4 linked regions of the Tamandua tetradactyla genome follow. The protein of the gene in region 2 interacts with the protein of the main gene of each other region in a biochemical or structural test. Links are inferred from orthologs where the notes say so. Each region holds a gene or a part of one and is shown on either strand. Other genes may lie near its edges. The genes, in order: ANGPT2, TEK, ANGPT1 and ANGPT4.

The links.
Region 1: the proteins of TEK (region 2) and ANGPT2 form a complex in vitro, tested with the Homo sapiens proteins (7 studies listed by BioGRID and IntAct, with this or other methods). The link is inferred for Tamandua tetradactyla from reciprocal best matches to the Homo sapiens genes TEK and ANGPT2.
Region 3: the proteins of TEK (region 2) and ANGPT1 form a complex in vitro, tested with the Homo sapiens proteins (6 studies listed by BioGRID and IntAct, with this or other methods). The link is inferred for Tamandua tetradactyla from reciprocal best matches to the Homo sapiens genes TEK and ANGPT1.
Region 4: the proteins of TEK (region 2) and ANGPT4 form a complex in vitro, tested with the Homo sapiens proteins (2 studies listed by BioGRID and IntAct). The link is inferred for Tamandua tetradactyla from reciprocal best matches to the Homo sapiens genes TEK and ANGPT4.

Annotation. Positions count from the first base shown.
Region 1 is NC_135329.1:34,715,901-34,723,905, reverse strand, and holds the start of ANGPT2 (angiopoietin-2), read right to left. Parts: upstream 3,011-8,005; 5' UTR 2,555-3,010; coding exon 2,267-2,554; intron 1-2,266. UniProt on the Homo sapiens protein: Binds to TEK/TIE2, competing for the ANGPT1 binding site, and modulating ANGPT1 signaling. Can induce tyrosine phosphorylation of TEK/TIE2 in the absence of ANGPT1.
Region 2 is NC_135328.1:69,154,636-69,162,272, reverse strand, and holds the start of TEK (angiopoietin-1 receptor), read left to right. Parts: upstream 1-4,628; 5' UTR 4,629-6,216; coding exon 6,217-6,268; intron 6,269-7,637. UniProt on the Homo sapiens protein: Tyrosine-protein kinase that acts as a cell-surface receptor for ANGPT1, ANGPT2 and ANGPT4 and regulates angiogenesis, endothelial cell survival, proliferation, migration, adhesion and cell spreading, reorganization of the actin cytoskeleton, but also maintenance of vascular quiescence.
Region 3 is NC_135332.1:152,108,043-152,115,347, forward strand, and holds the start of ANGPT1 (angiopoietin-1), read right to left. Parts: upstream 3,018-7,305; 5' UTR 2,649-3,017; coding exon 2,352-2,648; intron 2,346-2,351; exon of another isoform or gene 2,190-2,345; coding exon of another isoform or gene 2,160-2,189; intron 932-2,159; exon of another isoform or gene 88-931; coding exon of another isoform or gene 43-87; intron 1-42. UniProt on the Homo sapiens protein: Binds and activates TEK/TIE2 receptor by inducing its dimerization and tyrosine phosphorylation.
Region 4 is NC_135327.1:22,808,258-22,815,954, forward strand, and holds the start of ANGPT4 (angiopoietin-4), read right to left. Parts: upstream 3,003-7,697; 5' UTR 2,753-3,002; coding exon 2,444-2,752; intron 1-2,443. UniProt on the Homo sapiens protein: Binds to TEK/TIE2, modulating ANGPT1 signaling. Can induce tyrosine phosphorylation of TEK/TIE2. Promotes endothelial cell survival, migration and angiogenesis.

The sequences.
Region 1 (8,005 bases), on a different chromosome or scaffold from region 2:
TTGTGGTTGATTGGTTGGCTTTTGTTTTGTTTTATTTTTTGACTCTCATTCCTAAACCAGAAGCCAGAAGACAAGTTAGTTAGAGTTCAAATTGACTTTCTCAGGTGCACATCTTACACCACTGAGCTAGACCAGAGAGAACAGGTCTAAGCAGATCAAAAGATAAATATTAAGTCATTTATGATGATATTTAGCTACATAGCTAAAGAAGGAATTTTGAAATGCCATTGTTCTACGGATCAAATATTTACTAATTGAACCTGGGAAGGAAGAAATCTTGTCACCTGTCCTTTTCCTCCTTTAAATAGTTTCTCAAATACCCAAGAGAAGGGGATAGTTTAAGAAAGAAATATGAACTTTGCTTATGGAGTCTCAGGTATTCCTGATGTGTACTTAATTAAGCAAATACAATTTCACAGTCTTGAATTTGGCAAAGCATTCTTTTATGCTCCTTGACTGTTTATTTTAGGAAATGACTTACCAACTGGGCAGCTTAGAATGTTTACTACTATATTTCTTTCATTCCTTACTGAGGCTGTTAGCACTGACCATTAAGCACGCCATAGTAAATGCAGGGAGATTATTAAATGTGAGCATAATGACTTAAAAAGAAGTAGAAAGTTAGAATTTCACATATATTTAGAATACAGTTTGTCATTCAGATATTTGAACCTGTACTGCTGTATACTTTTTAAAGTTTAGCATTATTATTTAAGCATCTGTGGCTTTTAGATGATTTTAGTGACTTTCTTAAGAAAAAAGAAAAACCTACTGAAAATTTGCCCAGAAGGGATAGTGATTATAAAGATATTACTAATGACTTTTATATTATCTATATTTGACGGGTCTTTTTGATAAATTGTTTAAGTTTTATTGTTTTCTGTTCTTCGATTTTAAGCAACTGTTCTTGTTGCAATGACCATTAGTGGTGAGAACATTCATTCATTTAGGCTTATGGCTCAAATGATGACTTAGTTGTTTCCTCTCTGATGGCAGGGGAGTTAATGTGAAACTTAGATTAGGATCTAAGATCTCTGCTGAGATTAAGATAGGGTGTCCTAACAGACAGCTTATGGTGAAATAAAAGATTGAGAAAATAATTATACTTTTCTGGGGCAAAGTGTTGAATGATGCCAACAAACTTTTTAAACGTTTTTTATGGCTTTAAATAGTCATATTCTCTACCATGTAGCAATTTTCTAATGTAATGTCATCATTATAATACTTAATTTACTATACATGCATTTTCTTTAAACTTCCTTTGGAATACATATAGTCCATATAAAGAAAAATTCCAGGGTAATTATATATATATATGTATGTATGTGTGTATATAGTTCCCAGGTTTATGTGGGAAAATGATCTTTTATGAAAGAAAAACACAGCTTTCAATATCCTATTTTGGTTAAACTCTCTATAAAAATTCATGAAACAGCAGAGTTCTTGCCTGCCATGCCGGAGACCCGGGTTCTATTCCCGGTGCCTGCCCATGCAAAAAAAAAAAAAAGAAAAGATCTATGAAACAGTGGTACAATCATAGCCCCAAGTACAAACCATGAAACCATCTTGTCATGGCATAAATTCAACGTAACTGCCCCTGAGCACTAGTCCCACATGAATATATTTTTCAAAGCCAGTTGCTGGAATTGAAATGTGGCTGCAGTACCGAATCCCTACAGGACACTTGGAAAACTTACCACCGTTTACAAATGACAAGTCCTTGCGGGTAAATCACTGAGATTCTGAGAAACATGAGGTCTGTTTTATTTAATTTCCTCTCATTTACCAAGTCATAATCTATTTTAGTAAATAAATTCAGGAAATTGGTAAAGCACTTTGCTCCATCCGTTATTTATCAGTAATTAACATGATTGTCACGTTTTTCCTGGCTCTGGCACTGCTGTATTGCTTACAGCTTCCCTCACATGCCTGCAACCAGTTTATAATGTCTCTGTGTTACTGAGTTTAAACTAAAACAAACAAAAGAGCATAGCAGTTTTGCAGAGATGTGCACTTCCTCTCCTTCACTTTATTAATACAGATTTCAACTTCAGAAATTTTCTCTATTCTGACATTCTTTTTCAAATAATCCCTTTCACCTATGACCATTTTACACACTGGGATAGAAGTTTAAAAAGGATAATTCATTCAAAGCTACCCATAAAGCATCTCTGTCTTGCTCTAATCCTTTTTGTTGTTGTTATTAAAACAAAGCTGATTGTAATAGCTTTAATTTTTCATAAAGTAAAACTGATTATTTTCCTACCTTCATTAGCCATTGAGTGTTGTTTTCCATGATGTTTTCCAGTACTTGCAGCCTCTGCACCGAATCATCGTAATCTAGTGGTGCATCCCTCTGTACAGAGTTAGATACGTAGGAGCTAGAAGAAGAGCGACAATTGTCCATCTCTGGTAGGAGAAAAGTGTAGCTGCATGATCCATGCTGAACCTGATACTGCTTTTTCCCTATGCTCTCCATGCTTTTTCGAAAGTTGTTGTAGGCTGCCGCTAGGACAAGATCACAGCTCAAAGTAAAGAAAACAATCTGCCACATTCTTTCTTTTGGTAATAAACCACCAGCTTAGCAAATGTCAAGGCACATAAGAGTCCAAAATACTAAGCTGTTCTCTAAGATGCACGGCTATGCTGCCATGGTTTAAGGTCAATCAATGAAAGTCTTCTTTTTTCTCCTTTTCTAGTAGCAAACTTGATTTTTAATGCTGTCTTCTCTCCAGTCATCCAGTAAACTGTCAGATTCCAGAAGGGAGAATAATCCTGCTCAGTTGTGAGTGCTGTATTAGCTTTACAGATCAGATTTAATGTTTCTTTGTTTCTCTTTTCCCAGATTCTACAGTGTCTGTATCTGAATCAATCACTTTCCTTTCCTTATATGATAAGTTGATAAGAGCAGCCAGACATGTGTAGCTAGCTGCTCCGCCCTCTTGGCTTATCCGTTATCTTCCTGTAGGGGGGTCACTAGCCAGGCAACAGGAAAAATCGGAGCATAATGCTTGTTGTCTAACTAGGACTATATACTGCAGAAACCCTCTGGGAAAAAACGATCAGTTACAGGACCCCTGGGTATTTCATAGGCACCACCCTAATTGAGTATTTCCTAGAGAGAGCAGTCGGTCTCTTTTGTGTGGAACTGATTTCACAGTGTGAAGCTGGTAAAATATCTAAGGTAACAACTTTAATTTTAAAGTACAATGAAAGTTCTTGTTTTTTCCTTTCGGAAGAAAAATACTACAAATATGTCAGGACTTTGGTTTATTTTTGTTATTACAAATAAAGAGGAAGACGTTTTGCTCTTGTAAACTCTGTGCCTTTTCATAGGAAAATAGTTTCATGGATGTTATTTGTCCTTTGAACTGTTATCTGAGTATACAAAACTTTCATTTTAAAAGTTTGTTAGGAAGATCTTGCTTTATTAAATCATGCTAGGAAGATCAGTTTTTGAGCTCTGACATTTATTCTTTCAACAAAATATCCATTTCAATATTCAAAATAAACTTAAAGAATAATGGACTGATTTATAAGAGGTGGGGAAGTCAAAATACAAATAGAGTATGTTGAAAGAGGAACACATCTTTTCTTTTTTTTATATCAGGATTTGCTCAAAACCTATCATTTGTAACATGATTATTCAGGATCAATTAAATTAGAACCTCTAGGTGTTTGACTTAGGCAAATCACTTCCCCTTTTTAATTAGGCTCTAATTGTCCTTACCTGTAAAACGCAGGAGTTACACTAACTTTAACGGTTTTCTATTTCAATTCTATGACTCTGTAAATCCTGCAGGTCACCTCTTTTAATAAACTAAAACTTAATACCTCAGAGATTAATAATATGTGAATTTGCCAGCTAATATGAACCTAGGAAAAAATATCTATCCTTTGCTATGATCTGTTTATGTTATAGATATATTATTCCCAGTTAGTGGTAGAATATCTGGTACATTGACTTGATGGACCTCATCTAACCATGAAGGTCAAATATCAGTCAATAATCATTTAAAATAAACTTTCAGAGAAGCAAAGAATTATGCTTTTAATTCTTAGGTGACTATGGAATTTGTACAGTGAATTTTGTATTCTTGAATTTGTTGACAAGAGACCTAAATAGATCTTTCAAAACTCCATTCTATGAATATAATGAGTCCCAAGCTTCCTTTAGAGCAGGGATCCTTAGCGTGAGGTCTATGGAGAGAATGCATGGGGTCCATGAACTTGGATAGGGAAATAAGTACTTATTTTTTATTAAAATTTAACTGAAATTTAGCCTTTCCTTTAATCATGAATAAACAACCAACGAAGTAGGATTAATATCTATGACTTTCTCATCAATTAAAGTCATAGAATTATGACTTTATCAGATATTTCAAACTATCACACTCAGCACTAGATCCATCCCTAGATCTTATTTAATATCTGAAGATAATAGCATATATCTTTATTTTGGAAAAGAGTTCATAAGCTTCACCAGACTACCAAAGGGCTTGAAGAAAAGCACAAAAAATTTAAGACTCCTATTCTGGAAGAATCATATTAATAGAATATGAAATTTGATTCCACAAAGATTTTGATACATGGTTTCCACTAAAGGAAAAAAATAAAGAAAAATGTACCCTTTCAGACAATGAATTGTAGAGCAAAGCATCAAGGTTTTGAAGATAAAGCCTGTATTAGAACTCTGGTTCTGTGTGACTTTGGACAAATGCTTAAGTTCTCTAAACCTTAGTTCCCTTACTTGTAAAATGGAAATAATTCTGTCTCCGTACCATTTTCAGAATTAAAGTGATATGTAATAGTAAATGTTATTTAGGAAGGTTAGTTCCTTTTTCCTTTAGGCACTTTCCAATAAATGGAAATTAGTTTTTATACCATCAACTATTATAAATTTGCTATTCTCTGACTGAATGTGAAGTAATGGCATAGAGTACAAGTTTTTTCTTCTGATAAATTTATTCCCTATTTGAAAAAAGTATATTATAAAGTATTAATATGTGGTTTAAAAAAGCATTCATGTATCTTCCAGGAAAATAGGATAGTTTAAAAAGACGAAAGCAGAGGAGAATATTCCAAAAGTATGTATAGCCTACCAGTTGTGTATCAGATGCTCTGCTAGACACTGGGGACGAAAAGATTAATGTAACTGGGTTTCTGATCTAAAGAAGCTAATAGTGGGGATGCAAGAATAGTTTAGTGGTAGAATTCTCGCCTGCCAGGGAGCCCTGGGTTCTATTCCTGACCCATGCACTTCCCCAAAAAACAAACACAAATTCAACAAATGGTGCTGCAGTAACAGGATTCTCACATGGAAAAAGAATGAAATAGGACTCCTGCCATACAGCATACTAAAAAAATAAAAGAAGCTAATAGTATAGTGAGAGAGAGAGACCCATAAATAGATATGATGAAAGAATTGTGTGGTGCACACAGAAGAAAAATAATGTTGCTTTCATGGTGGACACTGTTCCTACTATGTTTGGTTTGGACATTGTCTTTCATCTAATCCTCTCAAAGTCAGAACATGAAATGAGTAGCTCATTGTAGATTCCTAAATAGAAATTGTTGGAACCAACCAGAGAGTAGCAAGGTTTTTCTATAAAGGATCAGATAGTTAACTTTGTAGGCCATACCCTTTATCACACAGCTACTCAACTTTGCTGTTGCAGCATAAAAGCTGCCTTATACAATATATATAAATGAATGGGCATGGCTTTGTTCCAATAAAGCTTTATATATGGCTACTGAAATTTAAATTTCATATAATTTTCACATATGAGATATTTTTCTTAGTATTTTTTTTAATCATTTAAAAATGTAAAAACCATTCTTAGCTCAAGAACTATTGAAAAACAGGCAATGGCTGTTGCTGTAGTTTGTTGGTTAACAAATCTCTAGTTAGACCATAGGGAAACTTACTAGTAGGGGCTCTGAAGTGGTTAGTAAATCTGCTCTAAAATACACAGCCAAAGTAAACTGAAATCTCTGATCCCTCAGATTATGGTATGAGTTCTTAAAGATTCAAGAACACAAGACAAGCCAAGGAAAAGGGACTTTGTGAAAGGGGCAGGAACATTTACCCAAAGTGAACGGCAATTTTGAAAGCTGGATATAAAATGTAATACAGGGAAGAAGTTCTAGAAAAAAAAAATGACTCAAGTACAAAGCAAAACATCACACATGTGCACCAGCCAAGCACAGGCAGTATAATACTAAAAGTTGCAGAGATGTTTTTGTAGTAAGAGCTGCAAACTTGACTGCTATAACTGATCATGGAGGAGATCAGAGAAGATATACAAGCCCATTGACAGCCAAATTATGAGAACCAGCAGGAGACCCTAGAAGGAGACAAAGAAGAACTGGGTCTAAGAACCTCACAAAGAAAGAGAGGCTGGGATTGTGCCTTTACCCAATTGTGACTAAAAGAGCCAACAGTTAAACCTATTTACTTGGTTATATTTATGCCTGGAGTAATTGTTTAGTACACTATATGTAACTGATTGTTTTGCACTTTTTACTATTGGACGAGTAGCAAAAGAAGAGTGTTGTGTTTACTTCTATCCCCTGGCCTGTGATTCGTTTTTCTGAGGGATTAAAAGTTAAACATAGTCCAGACTGCACTCTGCAACATAGATTTGATTGCGGTTCTTAGAACTGTTCATTTTCAAAGAGAATCTTGAGTTTTCTTCAATGACTTGCTGACAGGATAGCTGAAGGCAGATGAAGCTATAAAATGAGAAGTATTATTACAGGCTTCCCAAAATCAGTCTGCTTGCCCAACCAAATTTTTTTTCTAACTTCTGCCAAACAGCTGTGCATGTTGCTATTTATTTTCTTAATAATGTTTGTTTTCTCCCCCATGTTATATGTCATCAGCTGAAATTTCAGAGGCTCCCATTTATTCTCTGTAGAATGGAATCAAGTTCTAGAAATAATTTGTCTCTGTTTCAGCTTGCTCTGTTGAACAAAGGCCCTAATATGTGGGTAAAAGCTAAAAGGATCTCATGCCAGTTCGGCCTCTCTGACCCCTCCAAGAATATAAATTGTGGAGGCAGAGATCTGCTTCTATTTGGATTGTGCAATCGGACTGATCCCAATTTTTCAGAGGGCCTAGGTCATCCAGGGAAATTGTGAGGCTCTCTCACACATTTTTCTGTATTTAAATGGTGTCTCAGGAAGCCAGAAACCAGAAAAAGATGTCAAGTTTAAATGCATACAAAGTGGGGCAGCCCCAAGCAATAGAGTACCAAATAAAATTTGCAGGTGGGCTCACATGACCTCCGCTTTTGTGCATCAAGCAATGTAATATTCGATATTCAGGGGCCGGAAGTGTGACTGAGAGATGAGAATCCCAATCTTACCTGGAGAGAAAGTATTGCTTTCTCATCTGTTAAAATCCTGATAATATATTGCAAGCATAAGCTTTGAAGAAGACATTCCTAATTAAAAATACATGGAAAGTATTCAAACATATTATAGGCACATTGGTCTCCTGTATTTATAATAGATTTTGTGCTGGATTATTTTTCCATCAGATTTGGGCCATAGCATTACTGAGTAAATCTCATGCTTGCTCTTTTCAATACCCTTTAGCTATAGTCTACTTTAAATTATGTCATCTTTGCCTCTGGGTCTCCAGAGGTAGTGACTGGTGTTGGCTTATTTGACCAACATGACCATAAATTTTGAAAGTGTGCTGTGTTGGTATAGAAGGAACTTTCAATACTAAATGCCCTACAACTGAAGATGGGACTCTGTTGTTTTGATTATTAGCCATTTGTGAATGAATGGGTACACTTGAGGATGCTCAGGTAGCTTTCATGTTAGAGCTGGAAGAGATGTTAGGTATCATTTTGTCCATCTCGCCTCTTTCCCTTGCTCTGACCTTTTGAAAATTGAGAAGATGAATTCATCAGTCAGCATGTTTATACACAATGTAATGTTCATTGTACAGGGAAAACCATTAGAAAGTTCATTGAACATGAAATTATTGCTA
Region 2 (7,637 bases):
ATAAACCAGCCTTCCAGTTTGTTAGCCAGCCACAAAATATCTTTGTAGCAATGGTTAGCCAGTGCTTGCCTGACCAGAAAACTGGACACCATTACCTGACAAAGCTGACACCAGAACATAACCTTCACACCACCATCTTTCAGTTTGCAAGAGAATATAAATTGGTTTGACCCAAATGCCTTTTTCCCTCCTCTAGCCTGTTCTCCCTCTGGTTACATAGTTTCATAGTGGTTATTCTTTTCCTTAAGCCTATGAGAAAATTGCATTGGATCATCTGGAAGAGAGTACAGAGCTCTTGCCTTAAGAGGCTTACAGCTTATCTGGAAAGATATCACATGCGCCAAAGAAATACCGGGAGAAGGAAGAAAGGAATGCAAATTGTTGTCAAATGGTCATAGGGCAGCCAGAAGCAAAGACTACTAAAACAGATACTATGTTTGACCACATGATGCCAGATTTTGTTACTTAACTTTTCCTGTTTTGATGCATTGTCTCCACATGGGGATTGTGTAATTGTGAGCTTCAAAAGCAGAGATCATGTCTTCTATTTCTGTGTCTCCCCCATATCAATGTATCTTAGTGGCTAAAACTTAGATGCTGAAAAAAAAGCTGCAATCACTGAGGTGGATTGAAGTCAATCAGTTTCAAAGAAGGTCAGGTATTTTCCACAGTCATCTGCTCTAGATCAGAGTGGGTGTTGCCAACTTAAATGTGGCACCCTGGCTTACAGCCAGGACTTAATTGTTGATGATCTTTCCTTTCTTTCCCAGCCACTGTTAAGTACAGCAGCCCACAAAAATGTTCATGATACTCTTTAAGAAGCCAGACGTGGTGGCTCTAAAGGGTCAGTGCCCACAGCCCTGCAAAATGCAGAATGTTAAAGATACACTGTGGACAGTTGGCACCCTGATTTGTTTGCTCACCTTGTGCAAGCTGAGGTTCGCTTGGATCCTGTTTCTTATTTACCAGTGGGTCTTCTAATGCACATCTACTGTCCTGGGTCAACTGTCTCAAAGATTTCCCCTAATATTTTTCGTGTGTATATATATATATATATATGCTGAAATTATAGAAAACAATAACAAGGAAAAATCATAACAGTTTCCCAATAACCAAGAAAATAATCACTTTTAATATTTTGGTGTACATTTGTGGTATATGTATATATGTACACTGTATATATATGTATATATTTCACGCTGTTTATCAATATACGCTGTTTATGAAATATATACATTTCAAATTGTTTCTTCTCGTTCTACAATATACCATAAGCATCTTTTCATGTCAATGTGCTGCCACCACATCATTTAACATTTATCTGGCATTCCAATGTGTACCGTGATTTATGTATACCATTTTTGATAGCTTGTATCTAGTTTGCTAAAGTTGTCAAGAGGCAAAATGCTAGAAATGGACTGGCTTTTAACAGTGGGGATTTATTAGCTTATAAACTTCCAGTTCTGAGGCCATGAAAACGTCCAAATTAAGGCATTATCAGATGATACCTGAACTCCTCTGTCAGATGGGAGGGAACATGGCACCTGCTGGTCCTTCTCACCCTCGTTTCATTGCTTTCAGCTTCTGGCTGCTCCATCTGAGACTTTCTTTCTGACCTTCTGTGTCTTTTTCTCTCTTTTGTGTGAGTGTCATTCTCTTATAAAGGACTCTAGTAACAGGATAAAGACCCACCTGGGGCATGCCTCAGCTGAAATAACCTAATCAAAAGGTCCCACTCATAACAGGTCTACACCCACAGGAATGAATTCATGTTTTAAGAACATAATCTGTTTTGGGGGTTCATAAAACCTCCAAAGCATCACAGCTTATTTCCAGGTTGTGATTATTATCAACAAATATGCCAGGGATTCCCTTACACATAAGTATTGGGACACAGCTTTGATTTTGGCTTGGGGTATATCATAAAAGTGGTAAAAAAAAACAAACGCACATAAAGCTTTTACTAATATTTATGAAATTGACCTCTTGTGTGTAAAATCTGTTTATGGTAGAATTGTTATTTTTGCTAATCAGTCTCCAAGACTTTTATTATTGCCTATAGATTTTTTTTTTTAATTTTGTAACTGCAAAAGCAGACAATAGAAAATGAAATGTCAGCCAAGTGTCTTGTTTGCTTGTTTTGCCTGTTTGGTTTTCTTTTTTGTTCTGCTATAAGTGTGTCTAAAAAAAATAAAATTAAATTGAACAAGCTTGACTTATTGAAAAAAAACCCTTTCATTTTCCTGGGAAGAGGCAATGAAGCATCCACAGATCCTGATGTTAGCTATTTCAGTTGTGGAAGTACATTGAGAACTGTCTGCATAGCTCAAGGTCACCAAACTTTTTTATTACCTGTCAAAGCTTCATTTCAAATACACCCTAAGGTCTGTGTCTACTCCGATGGTGTTTGTGATGTTTCCTTCATTTCTGTTTATCTTCTTTAATGCAATTGCAATCAGAAGGTGAACTATGAAAAATAATGTGTCGTATATTAGAAATTGCACAAATTGGGGCCAAGAGACCAGGATTCTAGTGTTGTCTGCTAGCCACAGCTGTACAAGTTACTTAACTGTTCTGTGACTTTGCTTCCTCACTGCAAATAACTCTATAAAACAGTCTAATAGTCGTGATGATTGTGGGTGGGAAGGAACCAACAGAAAGCATTCATTCATTATGTACCTTGTGCCAGATACTGTGTATATATAATATCTCCCTATTAAGTATTATTTTTCCCCATTTTAGAGATGAGGAAAGTGAAGTTCAGAGACATGAAATAAATTGCCCAGGTCACACAGAGTAAATTACAGATACAATAGATGTAGTCCAGGTCTGCCTGACTCCGAAGCTCTTTCCTTGACGTGAGCATGTGAAATGGTAGCGTTTTCATTGATTAGTTCAATGATTATTTAACCCCTACTATATGCCAGGCACTGTGTTCAGTCTGGGAAATAGTGACCAACAAGCTAGATATGGTCCTTGCATCATGGTGATTGCAGTGCACTGGGGGAGCCAGGTATTAAAAGTTAAAGACACAACTATTTGAATGCTAGTTGTGATTGTCATGAAAGGAAAGAACAGGGTGTTCTGAGAGAAATAGTAGGGGAGGCCTAATTTGAATTTGAATTGGGTGGTCAGGGAAGTCTTTTCTTTGCGGTTACACCTAGAGGATGAATAGGAATTCATCAGGCAGGGTTGAGAGAAGAGCAATCCAACCTTTCCCAGGTGATGGGGCAGCAGAGGTAAGCAGCTGATCCGGCTGGCCACCACCAAGGCTTTTCAGGGAATGGACATGCCCCGCTGATGGCTATTATCAGCTTTCTAGAGGATTGTGGTCATATCCAAGTATGTGGTATTTCCTTAATATGTTGTGCATCGGAGAAACTCCTGTCCAGACATGGAAGTGGCCTCTCCCTTCCCTTGGAAATCCTGTCATGCCATCCAGTCTGGCAACTTCCCAACCTGTTGCCAATCAGACTGGAGGATTATTGGCCCCACAGTGTGTAGTGAAGCTCACGTTATTGTTCCTTGATTGATTCTCCATGTTCTCAGATCTGTGAGGCAGAAGGTTGGAGTAAAGCATGTCTGTCCATAGGTTACTTACACTTTACATCTGGAATTTTGATCTCATGCTAAAGATCCAGATATCCCAAAGAAAAGCTGCTCAGCTGTGTAATTGTAGTCTCAGAAAGCCCAGAAGCATTTATGAAACCAAGTTGCTATTCTGAGTAACAATGGAAAAAATTAATGGAATAATCTTTCTGGATCCTGACAGAAGAAATTAAATTACATGGCCCTTCAGGAAAAGGGAGAAATGAATTAAACTGAGCAATCATTCTAGAGTTAAGGGAGAAGAATTGAACAGAGTCATCCATTCCAGGTAATGGAGGAAGGAAGAACCTGAATAATGTTTCTGGATAGATGGAATAAGAACAAGTCGTCTTTCTGGATAATGAGGGAAGGGATAAAACTGAGCAGCTTTACTGAATAACAGAAGGAGGTAGCCCCCCAAAAGGAAACAAGGTAAGAACCTTACTTCAGCCGGTAAGAACCAGCCAGCAGGAGGAGGCATGAGCATGACGACTTCCTAGTATGACCAACAAGCACAAAGGGAAAGCTTGTGCTGGCAGCAAGAACCAGTCTGGGGAGGCAGGCATCGTAGAACTTGTTTATTTCCAAGACCTTCCATTGCTGTCCTCTATGGCTTGGGGCCAAAGGCCCTCGCAAAGCTTCAGCCACTGTATTCTTAAAATAGAGTATATCAATGACTTAACCCAGGCTTTCATAGTTATAGAGACACAAAGCCAGCATCTTCTTTGAACTGCCCAGATGAAAGGCCCTAGGAAAATATATAGCTCACAGAAATCAACTTGGGGATGCTGAGTGTAGGATAATTTATTTAGTTATTTAGACATAAAATGTTAGAATCAGAAGGGAAATTAGTCACATCCAGTCTAAATACATCATTTTACAGTCAAGGGAACTGAGCTCTAGAGATGGGAAATGACTTGTCCAAGGTCTCACAGGCAGATGATGGTAGAACCAGGACTAGACCCCAGAATTCCAATTCCCAGAGAAGTTCTTTATGACGCCAATCTTAAAGCCACCTCATCGGAATAGAGAATGGCTTTCTGGCTAAAGCAGCTGTGGCCTAAATCAGAAAGAGAATGGAAAGATGAAAGGAATGAGCACATTAACACTTAATGAAAGTCTTCTGGTGTAACATTTAATGAAACACCAGGCACAGTGCCAGATGTTTTTTATATATTTTAACCTCATTTAATCCTCACAAGAACTTACGAAGGTGATATTTCTGCCATTTTCCAGCAGTTGAAACTGAGACTGTAAGAGGTTAAATAACTTGTCTTCAGTCACTCATGTGGCTGAGCCAGTATTTAAACCCAGATTTGCTTGGAAAAAGAACCTGGGCTGGTTTTACCCCAGTAAACTGTAATCATCAACTGATTCTCAAGATCATCAGGGATGCGGTAAAATCTGGGACAGAAATTAGGCAAGACTACACATCTGTCCCTTCCTGTGGTGAGTAGGAAAAGGAGGAGCAGACAATTCCTTCCTCAGGCATGAAAGCAGGGTGATGAATAGAGCATTTACGCTTTTTTTCTGAAGTCATAATTTGTGTTGTGGGGAAATTATCATTGGAATAAATTTATGATCTCTGACTTCATTTTCGGCATTGCTACTCCAGATGGCTATTTTCCTTTTGGCCCATGTACTCTCTCTGTTCATATGAATAATATCTTTTTTTTAATCCCAATTTAATCTATGTGTGGTTTTCATACAGATTATTTTTAAAATTTTGTGTATGATTTAATTTTGAAATCCTTTTCACACCTGAAATCTTTCTATGCCAAATTCTTCAAGAAATTAGATCCCCTCCAGATGAATTTTTAATAAAAATTACGGATTCAGTAAATAGTGTGGTTATCTCTGGGCCCTTAGCCAACAAGTGAACTGTCTGTGTAAAAGAAAACAGGCTGACAGTTTGGGATTCTGGTTCCATGTCCACACTGAGCGTTGACCTCACCGGTGATTACCTAAATTAGTTGCCTCTCGGGTTGTGGTCTCTCATCACGGAAAACTTCTTTTCCCAATTCAAGTCATGTGGGTTGAAACGAGAAAACAAAAGCAAAAACTGCTTCCACACCCAAAAGCCCCTTCTCTCAGGGATCCCTACAGGACCCAAGAGAGCTGTTAGTGGTTTGAGAAGGGCTGACCATCATCGCATACCATACATAGGTGGAGGGCTTGTTATTTATTCTGTCTCCCGCCTATGAGAGGATACCCCTATTGTTTCTGAAAATGCTGACCAGGACTACACTTCGACTAAAATTCCTCTACCCCTACAACAGCAGCCAAAGCAGCGGCAGAAGCAACAGCCACAGATAAGTGTTTTGATGAATTGCAAGATAGATAGGGCTTGCAGTGCCTCCAGCTACTCTGACACCAAATGCCTTTAAGATACAGCCTTTCCCATCCTAATCTACAAAGGAAACAGGAAAAAGGAACTTAAAACTCCCTGTGCTCAGACAGAAATGAGACTGTTACAGCCTGCTTCTGTACTGTTCCTTCTTGCCTCTAACTTGTAAACAAGACCTAGTGGAACATGCAAATGGAAAGTCACAAACCTCTGGGTTTTTGAAAGGATCCTTGGGACCTCATGCACAGCTGTGGAAACTGGATGGAGAGATTTGGGGAAGCATGGACTCTTTAGCCGGCTTAGTTCTCTATGGAGTCAGTTTGCTCCTTTCTGGTAAGGTTTGGCTTTTTGATTTTTAATTTTAATTTTTTTATTTCGCAAACAGTGACATCTGGGCTTTCTCACCAACTCCTAGTGCTGATTAACAAGGGATAACTGGGGCAAAGACACTGTTTCTCTTTGATTTTCCTTTTCATATATGTACGGATTGAAATGCAAAGTCCCTGGGGCATGAACTGATTTTTCTAGTGTGTCCCTTCTGGATGATTATCCCAGGTTGCCACAGACTCTGAGTACTAAGTCACCTTATTTGAAGAGACTTACTTACTATGGTTCATTATGTTCTGTTCCTCATTCTTGAGTGTTTCCTTATTTCAAAAGAAGAAATCTGGGTTTACCTGCTTCAAAGAAAATCTTCAGTAATTTTTTAAAAATGAAAATTCATGCTAAGAATTATGAGGGTCATACGTATAAGCCAATACCTGAAGACAATGTAATATACTGTTCAATGAAAACAAACATGCTTTTCTGTAATGATTTCATATCTGAGTCCTCTTTTAATTAAAACGGGAAAATTCCATGCTCTTTGCTTTTTCTTATAGTTGGAGTTGGAAAGATTAAGGCTATATAATTTTTGTTTTATTTACCAAAAATATTCGGTGTATAATAATTCGTAAAGTCTATATTAACCCAAGGAAGCAAAAGTTCAAGCCGTTGCCAAGGTCATCAGGCACAGGATAGTACTGAAACCTGTTTTAGAGGCTGGTTAGTCTGAATGTTTATAGAGTTAGTGTGTATATTGCTCGGATTCTCTAGATAATGGTATATCTCTGTAGCTCACTCATCCTGTGTGACACAGACTGAAAGTAGAATCAAAATCTGAAGTGCAAGTCACAGATACGTTATGTTTGTTTTTAAACCCTTCAGCTTAAAAACATTCTAATTATTGTAATGAAAACCAAATTAATAATGAAAATAAATTTGGGAAAATTTGCTGTATTTAATGGTGTGGGCTATGTTATATGAAGTAAAAGAATTTACTCCAAAGATAATAAGTATCATATTATTTTTACATTCTTCTACATGTTTGAAATATTTCATTTTTAAATATGCTTACAATTACAAAAAAAATCCAATAAGAGAACAGAAATGCATGTAAAGTAATTTGTTTTATAGCTTTTTGGTTTGCTCTCAGCAGTCAATTATAATGAGGATTTAGTAATATTCTAAAAATCTAAGTTTGTAATGCAAATTGCTGAAAATGAAAATTGATCGGAGATGGTTTCAGTATTTATATAGCAGCTAGTTCATATTACTGTAGAAATAATGCTAATTTCTGCAACAATATGCCCCTTTAAACTAATTATCATCATTCCTTTTTTGGTTTGCTTTTGTGTGTGTGTGTACTATATTTATCAACCAC
Region 3 (7,305 bases), on a different chromosome or scaffold from region 2:
TGATTATTTCGTTGAACAAATAAATGAATTAATTGCACTTACATGCACCGAGAGCCTCATTTTCTGCAGCACTTCATTTCCTACCATACGCCAACTACTTGGAATCAAAAGAGAAGTAGTACAGATTGCAGCATTAAGCTTACCGAATGGTTACAGTAAAAAAGTTCCATTTGAACTATCAAAATAAATATACCCCATTAAACTGTGAAACTGAAGTGAAGAAAACCTCTAATTAAAGGAACCTTAGGAGAGCTCTGAGCAAGTTCTTTACTGAATGCACTTACTTTCTTGATCCTTCTACCAATCAATGTTAACAATGACAAAAGATATGCAAATATAAGCAGACAATAGTCAAGCCAAACTGCTGTGACTCATACCAGCAAGGACATTTCAGCATATCCTCAGCTTGATTTACATTAGCAAGGGTCAGTGTAACTAAAGAACATTTTAATAGTTATGCTTGGCTATTATCTGGAAACTATGTCATAATCAGTGACCGAGAACAACACAAACAAGAATCAAATTTATTTCCTACAAATTAACATCAGAAACATTGCATGATTCAAACCCAGTAGAATCATGTATTTACCCCGTCACAACTGAATAATTGCTTAGCAACAACAAATATGCATTACTATATTTAAATCACCATTTTGACTGTATGTTTTGGGCAAACAAAATATTACATTTTTGGTAGAAGGGCTCATTCAAGACAAGTTGGGACACTAAAATTTACTGCCAGGCCTCCAAAATAATCCAGACTAATTCATAATTTTTAAATGCCCATTAAAAAGCATGGTATATTAAGACCAGCAGAAAGCTACTCAACCAAATTCATTTGCTTTTTGATGGAAATAAATTTTGTCAAAGGAAAAAGCAGATATCCTATTTTAGACTACTATTGTAAGTAGTAACTGAAATTTAAGTTACAGTTATTAAAAGACTGCAGAATTCAGTTAGCTTTCCGTTGCACCTAACTTTTGATTTTCACCTATGGTCTGTACTAGAAAGACTAACTACAGTTCCAGGCTTGGAAACCCTAGAACTACCAAGTTTCAGTTCGCATGTCAAATAAAATAACAGTGATCTTAGTTCAGTCCCTAGTGGACAAAAGTAGAATAACTGCTACACGGCAGGATTCAGCAGGCGCTGACCTAAGTGAGTGTGACCCAAGGGAACAAAAAAGAGCATTTGTCCTTTTCCTCTCTTTTATCTTCTCAAAGGGTTTGCCCTGTTAAGGGACTAAAAGAAGTCTCACTGCATTCCTACCTCTATGCACCAAGTGACTCTATCTGCAAAAATCCTGTGGGGGAAGCTTTTCAAAACAGGACACACTGTATCCTTCCCATGACATAGTCACTTATCTGTTGTTTACCTGTTACACAATGATACAGAGATCAAAGAGACTGAACTGCACAAAGTATGTTCATATTTTAATAGGCAGATGTTCAGCGAAAACTTAAATGATTGAAAGGTAGCAGAATAAGCTATTCTATTTGATTTCTATCAATTGGGATTAAATGCATACTTCACATGAACTTCATGTGGACATTTAGAGTCCCAAATGGCACTGTGTCTGGAGAAGGGAGGTACTTGAAGAAAACAGCAGTGCCTACAACAACCCAATAATCTGCAGGTGCCTGTCTTCAATGAACAGCCACCACTGACTCAATCTCTCCCTTCATTTTGGGCAAACAGCCCCTTCCTGTTGAATTCACATTAAAATTTATTTTCTTGATTTTTTTCTCAAGCACAGAAGTAATATGTTATAGCCATTTACTATTCTACAACTTATTGAAATCAATAGTCCCCTTTCCACACTTACACAATTTCTCCACCTAATATTACACTTCATATTTATTTTCATTTCAAGTGAATTTTACTACAAATTTACAACTAATATTACTAAAATAAAACAATAAGCATTTTACTATGAGTTCCCATTCTAGCTGTATAAAACATCCTGGTGTAAAATTCATTTGATCCTAATATACTGTTGTCATTCTTATTTTGGTTTTGCTTTTTCAAACTTGCTCAAGAGGTACTCGGTTCTTTTTTAAAGTAAGACTACTCAAGTTAAACAGTAAATAAGAGAAAAACAGAGATGTCACAAAATGTGCCATTACTAGGCACACAGTGGGAGTTCCAGCATATCTCACCGGCTTGCGTATGCCTAAAAACCTTGGCATAAGGTGAAGTCAGACGGAGAGAGAGCCCTCTTGTACTTGCAAACACTGCCCGGCTGGAGCCAAAGGTAAATACACAAATGCCCCCCTAAGGAGCGTTAAGTTAGCTGCAATGCAAGAACGGAGAAGGAGCGGTGCAATTACAAACTGAAAGCAATCACTTACTTTTTGCAGCCACTGAGTATAATTTTCCATCACATGCTCCAGATGTTGGAGTTTCTGGGAAGAGAAATCCGGTTCCACGTGTGGAGCATCTCTCTGCAGAGCGTTTGTGTTGTACTGGTCTGTCGTACTCTCACGACAGTTTCCGTCGTGTTCTGGAAGAATGAATGTGTAGGCACACTGCCCATGTTGAATCCGGTTATATCTTCTCCCACCGTTTTCTGGACCTCGGCGCTGGTTGCTGCACCCTATGTGAGTCAGAACGGCAGCGAGGAAAGCAAAGGAAAGGAAAACTGTCATTGTACTGCTAGCGCTCTCCTTCTGTGCTGCTCGCAAAACTCGCTCCTTTCTTCTGACCTTTAAACTACTTTATTTTAGGCAAAACTGCTGGTTTGTTTGATTTCTATTTCCCCCTCAAAGAAAATTTTTTAAGAATCATAGAAAACTAGCCATTTGTTAGCTGGGTTCTAAAATGTTATTATTATTATTATTTTGTTTCACTGTAATGATATTTCCTTAGTTAAAACTTGAGATATTTATTGCATAGTAGCTCAGATTTATTGTTTCCTCTCTGTGTAACAGTTAAGCGTGCAGCCTGCCTGAGCCAGCGGCATGTACATATTCTAGACCCTTTCCTCTACCCTATCTGCTGCAGATCTGCTATTTTCTCCCAGACCTCAGTGAGTTTTATTAAGGTTGCACATCCAAGCCAAGCTGGAAGCAGGCAGCCTTTCACAAGATGACTTGACAGGAATGCATGAGTGTGCCCCTATGCTAAGGATTGCCGATGGCTTGGGGCAGCGGATCGTTTTACAAATTGGCTAGATGCGCATGACCTAGATCATGTATGGCCCTCCCGCCCCTTCTGCAGACAATTGCCTTGAGCCTTTAGCAGATTCAAGGAAAATCAATAAATAGAGCAGTCCACCTTAATACACTTTCGGTGTGGGTGCTGACCTACTAAAATCTAGTAGTAGTTTTTTTTTTTTAAGTTTCTATTTAGTTAGGGGAATCCTAATGAAAAAATTGGTATAATATCCAATGAAATCAATTTTGGCAGTGACTGATAAATCTTTATAAGTTTTTTTTTTTAATTTAAAAACATTTATTCTTGACTCTAGAGGAAAAGCTATTAAACCCATTTTTAGAAATGGTGTTCTTTTATCCTATTCCTTTGGGCTTTTAAGAACTGAACAAAATAATCAGGAAAGGTGAAATTAGCAAGACAATATAGTAATTTGGGACTCACAGGAATATGGCATGTGCATACTAAACAGAATGCACTAAGTACTTTCTGGGATATGGATTTTAAATGAAACTTGTCCTCTCATCAGAATACAGCCTTGAGTGCTCTGTATATAAATTAAGCAACTTCCTTATAAAAACAACGTGGTTACAATTTCAGACAGTTGCTTGAGAATGATTAATTCCTGCGGTATATCCTCATCACATATTTCACAAGGACCCCGGGTGTTGCCTGGCTATCTTTAACTCCATATGGAAGTTCCAGATAAATCCTCAATATGACTGCTTGGACCAATCACCCCAGACCAAAAACGTATCAGATGTGCCCATGGGCTGTACAGGAGAACTCTTATGTGTTTCTATTAGCAAAGAAATTAAAATTAACAGGTTAATTAAATTAACTTCTGTTAACTAAAAGCAGGCTGTAAACACTAGAAAAAGGGAGTCAGTAAATATAAATGATAGGTCATAATTATAGAATCCAGGGCATGGCTTTGAGATTTTCACTAGATGTGTGCAGAAAACATGGATTATTAGCACAAGCTTCCATCAGGGACTGGGAGGAATTTTCAGCAATAAACCTCTCAACTGTAGTCATGCGGTAAAAACAGAAGTCACAGATATAGACTGTCATGTCCTGGAATGGAGGCAGGGCTGTAGATGATGGGCAGTAGAGGTTAGAGATGGACGTTTGGGGAGAAGTAAAAGGAAATGGCAAACCAAATTCCAGATTCCAGAAAGAAGATGATTTACTTGGAAAAAAAAAATAGTGCTGAGATTCATCAAATCTGACAGATATAGAAGCAAGCTCTGCTTAACCATAGCAATAAAATCTTTGGCTCACCTCTGTAGCTTCCTCCTGTACTGTTGCATGTCTCCACACACGTGGAAAATAATAATGATGTTTTTTAAGTGTTTGCTATTTTTCATGCCCTGTGTTAAGTACTCATTTACTCGTTATATACTATCTCATTTAATCGTCCCAGCAACCCAAAGACATAGATAGAGTGTTTAACTCCATTTTGTGGATGGGGAAACTGAGTCACAGAAAAGCTACATAACTAGCAAGTGATGGCTCCAGTATGTGAACTCGGGCAAACTGATTCAGAGCCTTTGCTTCTACCACTATGCCAGCCTGCTTTTGAAAACCTCTGTGAGGAATGAAAGCAACTCCAAAATGTTCCAGCTATATTAATTTACAGTCCTAAGGCAGGTAAGCAATGGTACCTAGAAGAAAAAAGAACTGATTAAAAACCCGTTTATCCCTCCAAAATGGTTTTAAATTTTCTCTGTATTCCCCCCAAAATAAAATAAAATAAGTGACAGATAATCCACGAAAGTGAGATTTTTAAGGATCCAGAGGGAAGAAATGGACTGGCAAAGCATAGATTGTCTAAGAACAATTTCTAACATTACTTGTTTTGAAAATTCTCCATGGAAAAAGGAGAACTCCAAACCAAAACCTATAAATGCTTTGCTGAGAACTAAATACAGCAGAAAATTGGCAGAAGACAAATGGATGAGCAGTGAGGTCTCTGATAAGGTCCTATGTTTTTAAAACAGTCAAGGTTTTTGAAAAATGTCTTCCCTCCACGTGTGTGTGTATGTCTATGTGTGTCTGTATGTGCTTGTTCATGTGAACGCTTCCAATCTGAACAAACGAGAATGAGGGATGTATATTTTCTTGAAGGAAAAGTCAACACTAAAGAAAGGAAACCCTGAAATGCAAGTTAAAAAAAAAGGCGGGGGGGGGGGGAGAGGGTAAGAGGGGCACAGAGAGACAGAATAAAGAAAGAGATATAGGGATTTATTTCTTTATTTTAGAGAAAAAACGAACACAAACATACGAAACCAAGACACTAAAAGTACAATTGCCAATACAGAAAGAATATCTGAGGGTCCATTGTAAGCAAGTGGTAAAAACAGGGTTGTGGATATGCAGAATCAGCTCATATCTTGGAACTCCAGCTAAGGAGATGTAAGGTATTGAGATGTTAAGGTATTTGACACGCAAAGAACATTAGACTCAGGGACATGAATCAAACCAACAGCAACACTGCTGGTTTTATGATTATTCAGAAATGATTCACAATTCAGGGGACTGTGATATTGAGGGAGTAAAATATTAAATATGCCCAAGGTTACGTACATTTTTAAATTCCTCTACCAGACCTCTAAACAGCAAAGCGGAAAACTTCTAAAGAACTAATTCCATTCACTTGCATTCTTCAGTAGCTTGACCTGAAAGCTTCCAATTGGTTTTCATGATTAGAGTTCTGGAATAAGAAGGTGAACTCTTTAAGGCTCTGGTCGCACATTGTGCTGGTTTGAAACTATTATGCAGTCCAGAAAAGCCATGCTCTTCTATTCCATTCTTGAGGGTGCAGATCTATTGTGGGCAGGGCCTTTTGATTAGATTGTTTCCATGGAGATGGAACCCACCCAATTCAAGGTGAGTCTTAAATTCTTCTTGTGAGAGAATAAAAAGATAGTGAAAGAGGAGAGAGCCCAGAAACGTTCAGAGAGAACAGAAATGCCCAGCGAAAAATATTTTGGAGAGAACCACACAGAGCCCAGAAAGAGAAACATCCCAGAGGTGCCAAGAGTGGACCCACAGGACACAAAGAGCATCAGAGAGATGTCCCAGGGTAGGAGAGCAAGGACCGACAGAAGCTCAGAGAGAAAGCCACTGGAATCGGAGGCTGAAAGCAATGCAATCAGGGAGTGAAGGACCAGCAGATGCCAGCCACGTGCCTTCCCGCATGATGCAGGAACCCCAGATGTCATCAGCCTTTCTTCAGAGTCAGGGTATCTTTCTCTGGATGCCTCAATTTGGGCAATTTTATGGCTGTGGAACTGTAAATTTGTAAACTAAAAAAAAATCCCCTTTGTAAAAGCCCATCCATTTCTGGTATATTGCATTCTAGCAGCTTTAGCAAACTGAAACACATATCTAAAAATGAGTCCTAGTAAAGGCAAGCGTCATCTCAAAACTCCTGTCTGACAGAGAACACCATTTATATGGGAACTTGATGACCCCAAATTTGTCCTAAGAACAAGTCTTTAGTTACTTCTTTTGTGAAGCTTTTCTAATCTCTCTGGGCCCAGAAAATAGCTTTCTCCCATGTATTTCAATAACCACTTCTTCATATTTCCTACTGGGGATTAAGTCATATATCCCAGAAAAAAAATGTTCTTAATCATAAATCAATTTCTGTGGGAATGAACTTGTAAATAGGACCCTTCTCTGAGGTTATTGTTAGTAAATGCGTGGTCATCTGAATAAGGATGGGTCCTAGTCCCATTTCTGGAGGCTTTATAGGGAAGGCCACAGAGAAGAGGGCACAGGAAACAGTCTATAGCTGGAAGACAATGGAATCTGAGAGAATAAGGAGAAGACACTGCCATATACATGGATAAGATGGAAAAGCCAAGAAACTCCAATGACTGCCAGATAGCCAGAAGATATCAACCATGGGAAGAAGGAAGCCTTCTAGCCTCTAGAACCATAAGCCAATAAATATCTGGTGTTAAGCCAACCTTCTGAATGGCATTTGTATTAACAGCTAGTGTGCCTGTTTGAAACTGTCGTGTACCCTAGAAAAGTCCATGTCCTATAATCCTCATTCAGTATTACTGGGTGGAATCTTTGTTATTGTTTCCATGGAGATGTGACCCACCCAACTGTGGGTGGTAACACTGATTAGATTAT
Region 4 (7,697 bases), on a different chromosome or scaffold from region 2:
GTAAAAAGGAAATGAGGAAGCAGAGGAAGAATATGGGGCAGGAGAAGAGCTTGTTTCCCCCCTCATCTTCCTCATCTTCCACTTCCTTCTTTTTTAACATGGGAGAGACCTTGGTGTAATTAAACACAGAGGAAGAACCAGCAGAGAAGAAGGTTTGGAGGTGCAGGAGGGGACAGCTGGTTTAAGGAGGCTGAGGAGCTGTGGGAGATGGTTCTTAAACCTAGGAGGGAGGGATGGCCTTGGCTGTGAGGGAACCTCTTTTCTCTGAGACTGAAGAAAGGCTCTGGGGACTGGTGGATACATGGGTGAACCTGCAGATGTAGGGTGGGCAGCTGAGCAGCCTCTCTGCCCGCAGCCTCTACTTCTTGTGGAAGTAGGACGTCCATGGTCTGGTGAGAAGACGGGTGGGTGGGAAGTGAAGATGGAGGCTTGAGGAGGGGGCAAGACTTGAAATGGCCCTGGTAGGCCTCGGAAACAGCTGTCCAAAGAAACACACACAGATTGCAGAGTGACATGGTGTCTGCGCTGGACTGGGCTCCTGTACATGAGGCAAGGAGCTTCCTGGAGGGGGCCATGGGGGTGGGAGGGTGGCTGAGCCAAGTGCTGCAGGGCCAGTGGGTGGGAGGGCAAGTGGGAAGGGTCCCTGGGAAGATGGTGAGCGAGGGCCTGAGGGGGAGGCCAGGGCAGGGATGAAGACAGGAGGGTGAGTGTGTGTACATGTATGTGAATGGGTGTGAGCATGAGTGTGTATGCGAGTGTGTGTACACAAATATATGTGTGAACATGAGTATGTGAGCATGTGTGAATATGAGTGTGTATAGGTGTGAGCAAGAGCATGTATGTGAGCCTGGGTGTGCATGAGTGTGTATGTGAGTGTGTGTAAGAAGCAGTTTGGTTAGGCATGTATAGTACAGACCCTCCACCTCGGGGATGGATAAACCCAGAGGCAGCACAAGACAATCCTTTAGAAAACAGGAGGAAATGATCAGAACTTCAATTTACATGATTTCATACATCAGCTTTTAAAGTTCCATTTTTGTCTGCGTCATACCCTGTATATATCATATTAATACTGAGCATATCACATGAACATTAAATAAATATGCATGTATCGGGGGAGCAAACAATTTTTACTGATTGGATGCGTGATTTAAAGTATTTGGAAACCCCTCATTAAAAAGGAACCTCAGGGACTACTCCTGTCTCCTCCTGCTCTCACCTTGCAGCTAGCTGCCAGCTGCTGTCAGCTGTTTTATACATTCTAAACCCTGTAAATCATCTGCTCTCCTCCCCACCCCCCCGCCACTACACCCAGACCATGTCCTGCACCTGCGGCCAGGGCCCACTCTCTTCCCCTGGTCAGCTCCTACTTGGCTGGCCAGCCTCATCTTGGACTCCACAGGCCACCTTCCCTGCCTTCCGCCCGTCCCAGCCAGGCCTGCCACGTCCGCTCTGGGCCGGGCATACACGAGGTGCTCAAAGTGTTTGCTGGTAGAACGAGCCCATGCAAGATTGAGGACAGGAGAGGCTACAGTGACCCTGGTTTGGGGTCCGAGCTGCAGGGGCGTTCTCAACTCCTCGCTCTCTCCCACCCCTCATCTAAGTCAGCAGCAGACCCTGTTTGCGCCACCTCCAGAAGCAACCAGGATTTGACTGGCCACACCTGCCCCTGCCCAGGCCCTCCCTGCTCCAGGCTTCCCCTCATCCCTCTTGCCTGCAGTGGTCTCAGCCACTTCCTCCAGCTCCTGACACCCACCCTGACCCCTACAGCCTAGTCTCCTATTACAGTCAAATCAGGGGCATCGCTCCAGCCAGTCTGGCCACCTTGCGGTCCCCAGGCACACCGACTCATCCCCAGCTCACGGCCCTTGCACTGCTGGTTCCCTGGCCAAGAACGCCAGTCCTCCAGATGCCTGCGTGGCCTGCTCATCATTTCATCTATTCTCTTGCTTCAAATGTCACCTCCTCTGAGAAGTCCTCTGACCACCTGAGTCCTAAGCCACTCCTGGTTATATTCCTTACTGGCTTCCCTTCCTTCATTTTATAATGTCACCATCTGACACAGGTTTTTATTGTTTATCATCTCTTTCCCCCCCTTAAACGTGTGTCCAGAAGGACACATGCTATTCTGTTTTGAGTTGTGTCCCCAGCTACCCAGGATGAGTCTGGCATGAGGTCAGAGTACAACAAATTTCTGTTGGATGAATGAATGAATGGCAGCTAGGGAGCCCGTTTCCAGTTCTGATGCCTCTGGTTTTGGGGGTGTGGCCTCCGTGGGGCATCCCTGCCACTCTCTCGGCACCATTAAAACAATCTGCACAATTCAGAGACAAGCGTCCCATCAGCTTGGCCATCTGTGACCAAGGACAGACTAGGAGGGGACCTCCACCTGTCAGGCCACAGAGTGCCCCCCCCACCCCAGTCCCGCAGGCCCGGCCGTTACCTTCTGCAGCCACTGCGTGTGGTTTCTCAGCACCTTCTCCAGCTGTCGCATGCGCTGGGCAGGCCTGCCCTCCAGGTACTGTGTGGAGGCTGGGATGTCCCTGCACAGGCTGTGGGAGCCCCTGAAGGCCTTGGGCTCCAGCAGGCAGGGCTCCGGCTCGGGCAGCACGAAGGTGTAGCTGCACTGGCCGTGCTGGACACGGTGTGCCTGGCGGCGCCCGCTCGCCTCCTGTGCCCTCTGTTGGCCTGCAGTCACGATGGCCACCGAGAGGAGGAGGCTGCCCAGCAGCATGGCCCTCCAGGAAGGCATCAGAGAGGTAGCGGAGGTGCAGGGTGTGGGGTCAGAGTCTTCAGGGAATGTGCCTGCCTGCTGCCCAGCGCCGCGCCCGCCGTCGCCACAGCCTGCAGTGGACAAGCCTGCCTGCAGAGCCGCTGCAGCTGCAAACCCGTTTGTCCGAGCTCTGTCCAGGAGGCTATTTATACTTGCTCCAAATACCACAGCTGCTCAGCTTCCTCTCACCACCTCCTGCCCCCCCAGACGCCCCCTCACCTCTATTCTTTCCCCCTTTCCCTTCCTTCCTCTGTGCTCTTGCCCACCAGCTGCCCCGTCCGCACTGGCCCTGCTCTGCCCTCTTCTCCTCCGAGTCCTTTTATTGTCCAGTGAGAGCCCGGCCTCCCTGCGGGGGGGGGTGGGGGGGGGAGAAAAGCAAACCGCACGCGGACACGCGCACACGCGCACACTCACACGCAAATACCAGACACTCAAAGCCGCCGGCTTTGGAAAACCAAACGCAACCGAAATCTCTCTCTCTCTCTTCCTGTCTCTCTGTCTCTCTCTGTGCTCCCCCCTCAAGGCTGGGATCTCAAGTTTCAATGACCCCCCCCCATGCCTTCCCGCTCTCCTCCCCCTCCACTTCACCCCCGCTGATGTTGGAGTGCTAGGAACGAGGCAGGCTGGAACAGGGAAAGAGGGGAGAGGAAAAAACCCGGTGAAGGAGCCCTTGAGCTAGGACAGTTGATCAAGATCAGGAGGAACTGGTGTCCCAGACAGACAATCAACCTGCCTGGGGCTGCCCGCTTATGGGAAACACCCGCCCACTGTTGACCCATCTGGAGCCAAATGACCCCCCACCTGAGTGAGTCATTTTCGGAGAAGGGTGGAGCCACCTGACCCACCCAGCTGCTCTGTCTACCACGGGACACCACCTTGGGGAGAAGGGAGGGTGCAAGGAAAAAGCCCCAAACAAGGAAGGGGGAGAGGGAGTAAGCACAGCTAACCTATAAGAGCAAGTGGCCTCACATGGCTATCACCTCTCACCTTTCTCATGTCTGTCTGTGTGAGGGTGCCCACATGTCTTCTCACAGGTGTATCTAATACATTTCCTGCCTCTTACTTTCTGCGCTGTGCCCTTGAATTCTTTCTCGTGGCATGGCCAAGAACCTGGAAGCCTAAATTCGGTAACCACACCAGTAAAGGGATGGCCAGAGGGAGCCGGGGAGCCAAGGGGCAAGGGAGTCCGGGCAGGGGATGAGGGAGCAAATCCAGTTTGCTTCTTGGGATAGAAAGAATCCTTCCAAGGCAGAAAACTGGGTGCTTCAGCCAGCAATCCGGCTCCCTGTCCTTTCTCCCTTGAGGTCTGGAGGAACGTTATTCCCTGGGTGGCTCAGTTGGTGAGACAGTGACGAGAAATTGTACTGTCCTGGGCTGATTGTTCCCTGGGCTGCCTGTGACCGCTGGGAGAAGGGCACGGAGTGCGGTCAGAGCTCACCTCTCACACAGAGTGGCTGACCTTGAACAAGCACCCCTCTGGGCCTCCACATCCTGATCTCCTCTTGCATGAGGAACGCATGTGCGTCCTCAGCATGGGGATAAGGAGTTTTTGGTTTACTTGTTTATTTACTTGTTTACTGATTCAATTCCTGGCTCCACTACTTACCAGCTGTGTGACTTTGGGCAGGTCACTTCACTTCTCTGTGCCGCTGTTTCTTCATTGTTGAATTGGGGAAAATTATATCATCTACTTCATAGGGTATAAAAATTGAGTTAGAGCAGTGCGGGCCCAGGGGGAGCAGGGAATAAGTGTCTGCTATTGTCATGGGTACCTGTATTTTGAATCTCTCCTCTCCAAGCCACTGGAATTTATTTAAACATTTTTTTTTTTATCATCACAATCAACTCTTTTTTTCTTTTTTTGTGAAAAATACTTTGTGTGTGTGTGAAAAATAACATATATACAAAAAAGCAATACATTTCAAAGCACATAGCAACAACTAGTTGTAGAACAGATTTCAGTGTTCTGTTTATGGGTTACAATTTCATATTTTCAGGTTTTTATTACTAGCTGCTCCCAGACACTGGGAATTAAAAAAAAATATCAGTATAATGATTTAGCAATCATACTCATTTGTTAAACCTACTTCTCTGTATAACTCCACTGTCACCTTTGAATTTTCTCCCACTCTTTGGGGGTATTTGGGCTGTGCCCATTCTAAATTCTTCATGCTGGAAGGGGCTGTTGACAATATGGGATGGGGGATGGAACTAGTTGATGTTCTGGAAAGGCTGGCTCCTCTGCATTTCAGGACTTATCTGGTCCAGGGACCCATCTGGAGGTTGCAGGTTTTGGGAAAGTTATCCTAGTGCATGGAACCTTTGTAGAATCTTAAATATTGTCCTAGGTATTCTTTAGGATTGGCTAGAATGGTTTTTGTTGGGGTTTGGCAACTTATGATAGGTAGCAATGCCTAACTGGAGCTTGCGTAGAAGTGACCTCCAGAGTAGCTTCTTGACTCTATTTGAATTGTCTCAGCCACTAGATAGCTTGTTATACTTCTTTTCCTCCTTTTGGTCAGGATCCAGCCACTGGAATTTTAAGTAAACTCCCTGAGGGCAGGAATTCATCTGTTTTTCTTCATGCTATATTCCCAGGATCTAGAATAACTCCCTGGGGACAGTAGGAGCTCAATTAAAAAGTTGACCACTGCTTTTATTATTTTGTAATTTCATTCAGTCTGGCAAAGGCCATCCCCAATACAAGGGAAGACGCTGCTTCAGGCTGAAGTCAAACCTCGGAAGATGGAATGGAGTTCCTCACCCAGCCTCAGGGTTTGGATTTGTCTAAGGACCCCCTGAGGGCAGCGAGGGCCTGGCTGGGGAAGCCCTTGACCACAGGAGGACATGGTTAGGTCTGTCCTGGAAGTCGGACACACAGGCAGGGGTTCAAGTCTGGAGGAAACACCAGCTCCATGGATCCTGCTGGCAGTCTCCCACGGACATCTGTATGTGTCCCCTCAGTTTGTGCTTCTCCCCGGGCAAGACGAGGAAGCATCTCCTTCCTTATCTCTCCTTCCATCAACAAATTAAGATGGAAAGGCCCAGGAGGGGGCTACTGCCACATCCACCAAGTGGTGCCTGACGGGGACCTGCCAGGCCTTGTGCTGCCCAAGGAAGTCCTTGGGGGCAGGATGGGCCTTTCCCAAGGTCAGTGTGGTCACGTCTCCCCATTGCTTCCAACTTGGAGTCAGGTCCCAGTAAGCTCTCTCACCTCACCTGCCATCATCCTCTCCCACTGTCCCTGGGTTGAGGCTTCCAGGTTCTCAGCCATGCCATGAGAAAAGAATTCAAGGGCAGGGCATGGAAAGTAAGCAGGCAGAAAAGTTATTAAATACACCTGTGAGAGGACATGGGGCACTCTCACAAGGACCGAGGTGGGAAAGGTGAGAGATGATAGGCAGCGTGAAGCCATTTGTTTTTATAGATTAGCTTTATTGACTCCCTCTCCCCCTTCCTTGTCTGGGGCTTCTTTTTCTACCCTCCCATCTCCCGGGGGGAATGCCTGGTGGTAGCTAGTGCATTTGATTAGGTCAATTGGCTCCACCCTTCTCTGTAGGTGACTCACGCAGGTGGGGGGCCTTGAGCTCCAGCTGGGTCAGCTGGTGCCCGGGGTTTCCTGTAAGTGGGTAGCCCCAGGCAGGGTTTCTGTCTCGGACATCAGGCCCTCCTGCCTTTAACTGTTCTTGCTCAAAAGTTCCTTCACGAGTGTTTTCTCTCTCTCCCTTCTCTCATTGTTCTAGCCTACCTCAAATCCCCCCTCCAAGAGTTCTCACCCCTTAACAATCAGGGATACTGAGGGATGAAGGTGTTTCTTATGGAGCTGCTTCCCGCTTTTCAGGGAGCCTAGGTTTTGCCTTACGGGGATAAGAACTTTCTAGTCATTTCATTTAATTTGAGAGGGGCAGAGTCCAAAGGGGGTATTTGGAACGGCGGAAAAATCTTCACATCAGCATTAGCTTCATGTGAAACGCTTCCAGTCTGGAAGAAATAAACGGTGAGAAGTTTAAAAACGTAAGGGCCAATCAATAGCAAGAGGGTAGAAGTGAGTGGGCCCAGGAGATGCATTAGCCAAGTGTGACTGGGCAAGAGGAATTTAGGTTTCCAGGTTCTTGGCCATGCTGCAAGAAAGAATTCAAGGGCACAGCACAGAGAGCAGGCAGGCAGAAACTTTATTAGCTACACCTGGGAGATGACATGTGCGCACGCTCACAAGTAAAGAAAGATGAAAGGTGAGGGGTGATAGGCAATGTGAGGCCATTTGCTTTATAGATTAGCTTGACTTACGCTCCCTCCCCCTACGTTTGTTCGGGGGGGGCTCTTTTTCTCCCCTCCCTTCTCCCCGGGGCAGTACCTGGTGGGGATAGTGCTTTTGTGTGGGTCGGTTGATGACTCACTCAGGTGGGGCTCATTTGGCTCCAGGTGAGTCAGGGTGTTTCCCGTAAGTGTCCAGGACACCAGGTCCTCCTGACCTTGATTAACCATCCTAGCTCAAGGGTTCCTTCGTGTTTGTTTGTTTTCCTCTCCGCTCTCCGCCTGTTCTAGCCTGCCTCAAATCCCCCCTCAGAGAGTTTCCACTCCTTAATCTTAAGGGGTGCTGAAGGACAAAGGTCTGCTGTCTTCTATACGTCTTCCTGCTTTTCCGGGGGTGCAGGTCCTCCCTGATGGGGCATAGGATTTTCTGGCTATCTTGTTTAAGTTGAGAGAGGAAGAATCCAGAGGGGTGGTTAGAACACCTGCAAATCCTCGCATCCGCATTGGTTTCGTGTGAAAGGCTTCTAGTCTGGAAGAGATAGACTTGGTGAGTTTAAAGATACAAGGGCAAATGTGAGAGAAGGATAGAAATGAGCCTAGGAGATGTATCAGCCAAGAGAGACTGGGAACGAGGGAAGCGGATGACAATCCTTTGGGTCCAAGAGTGAAT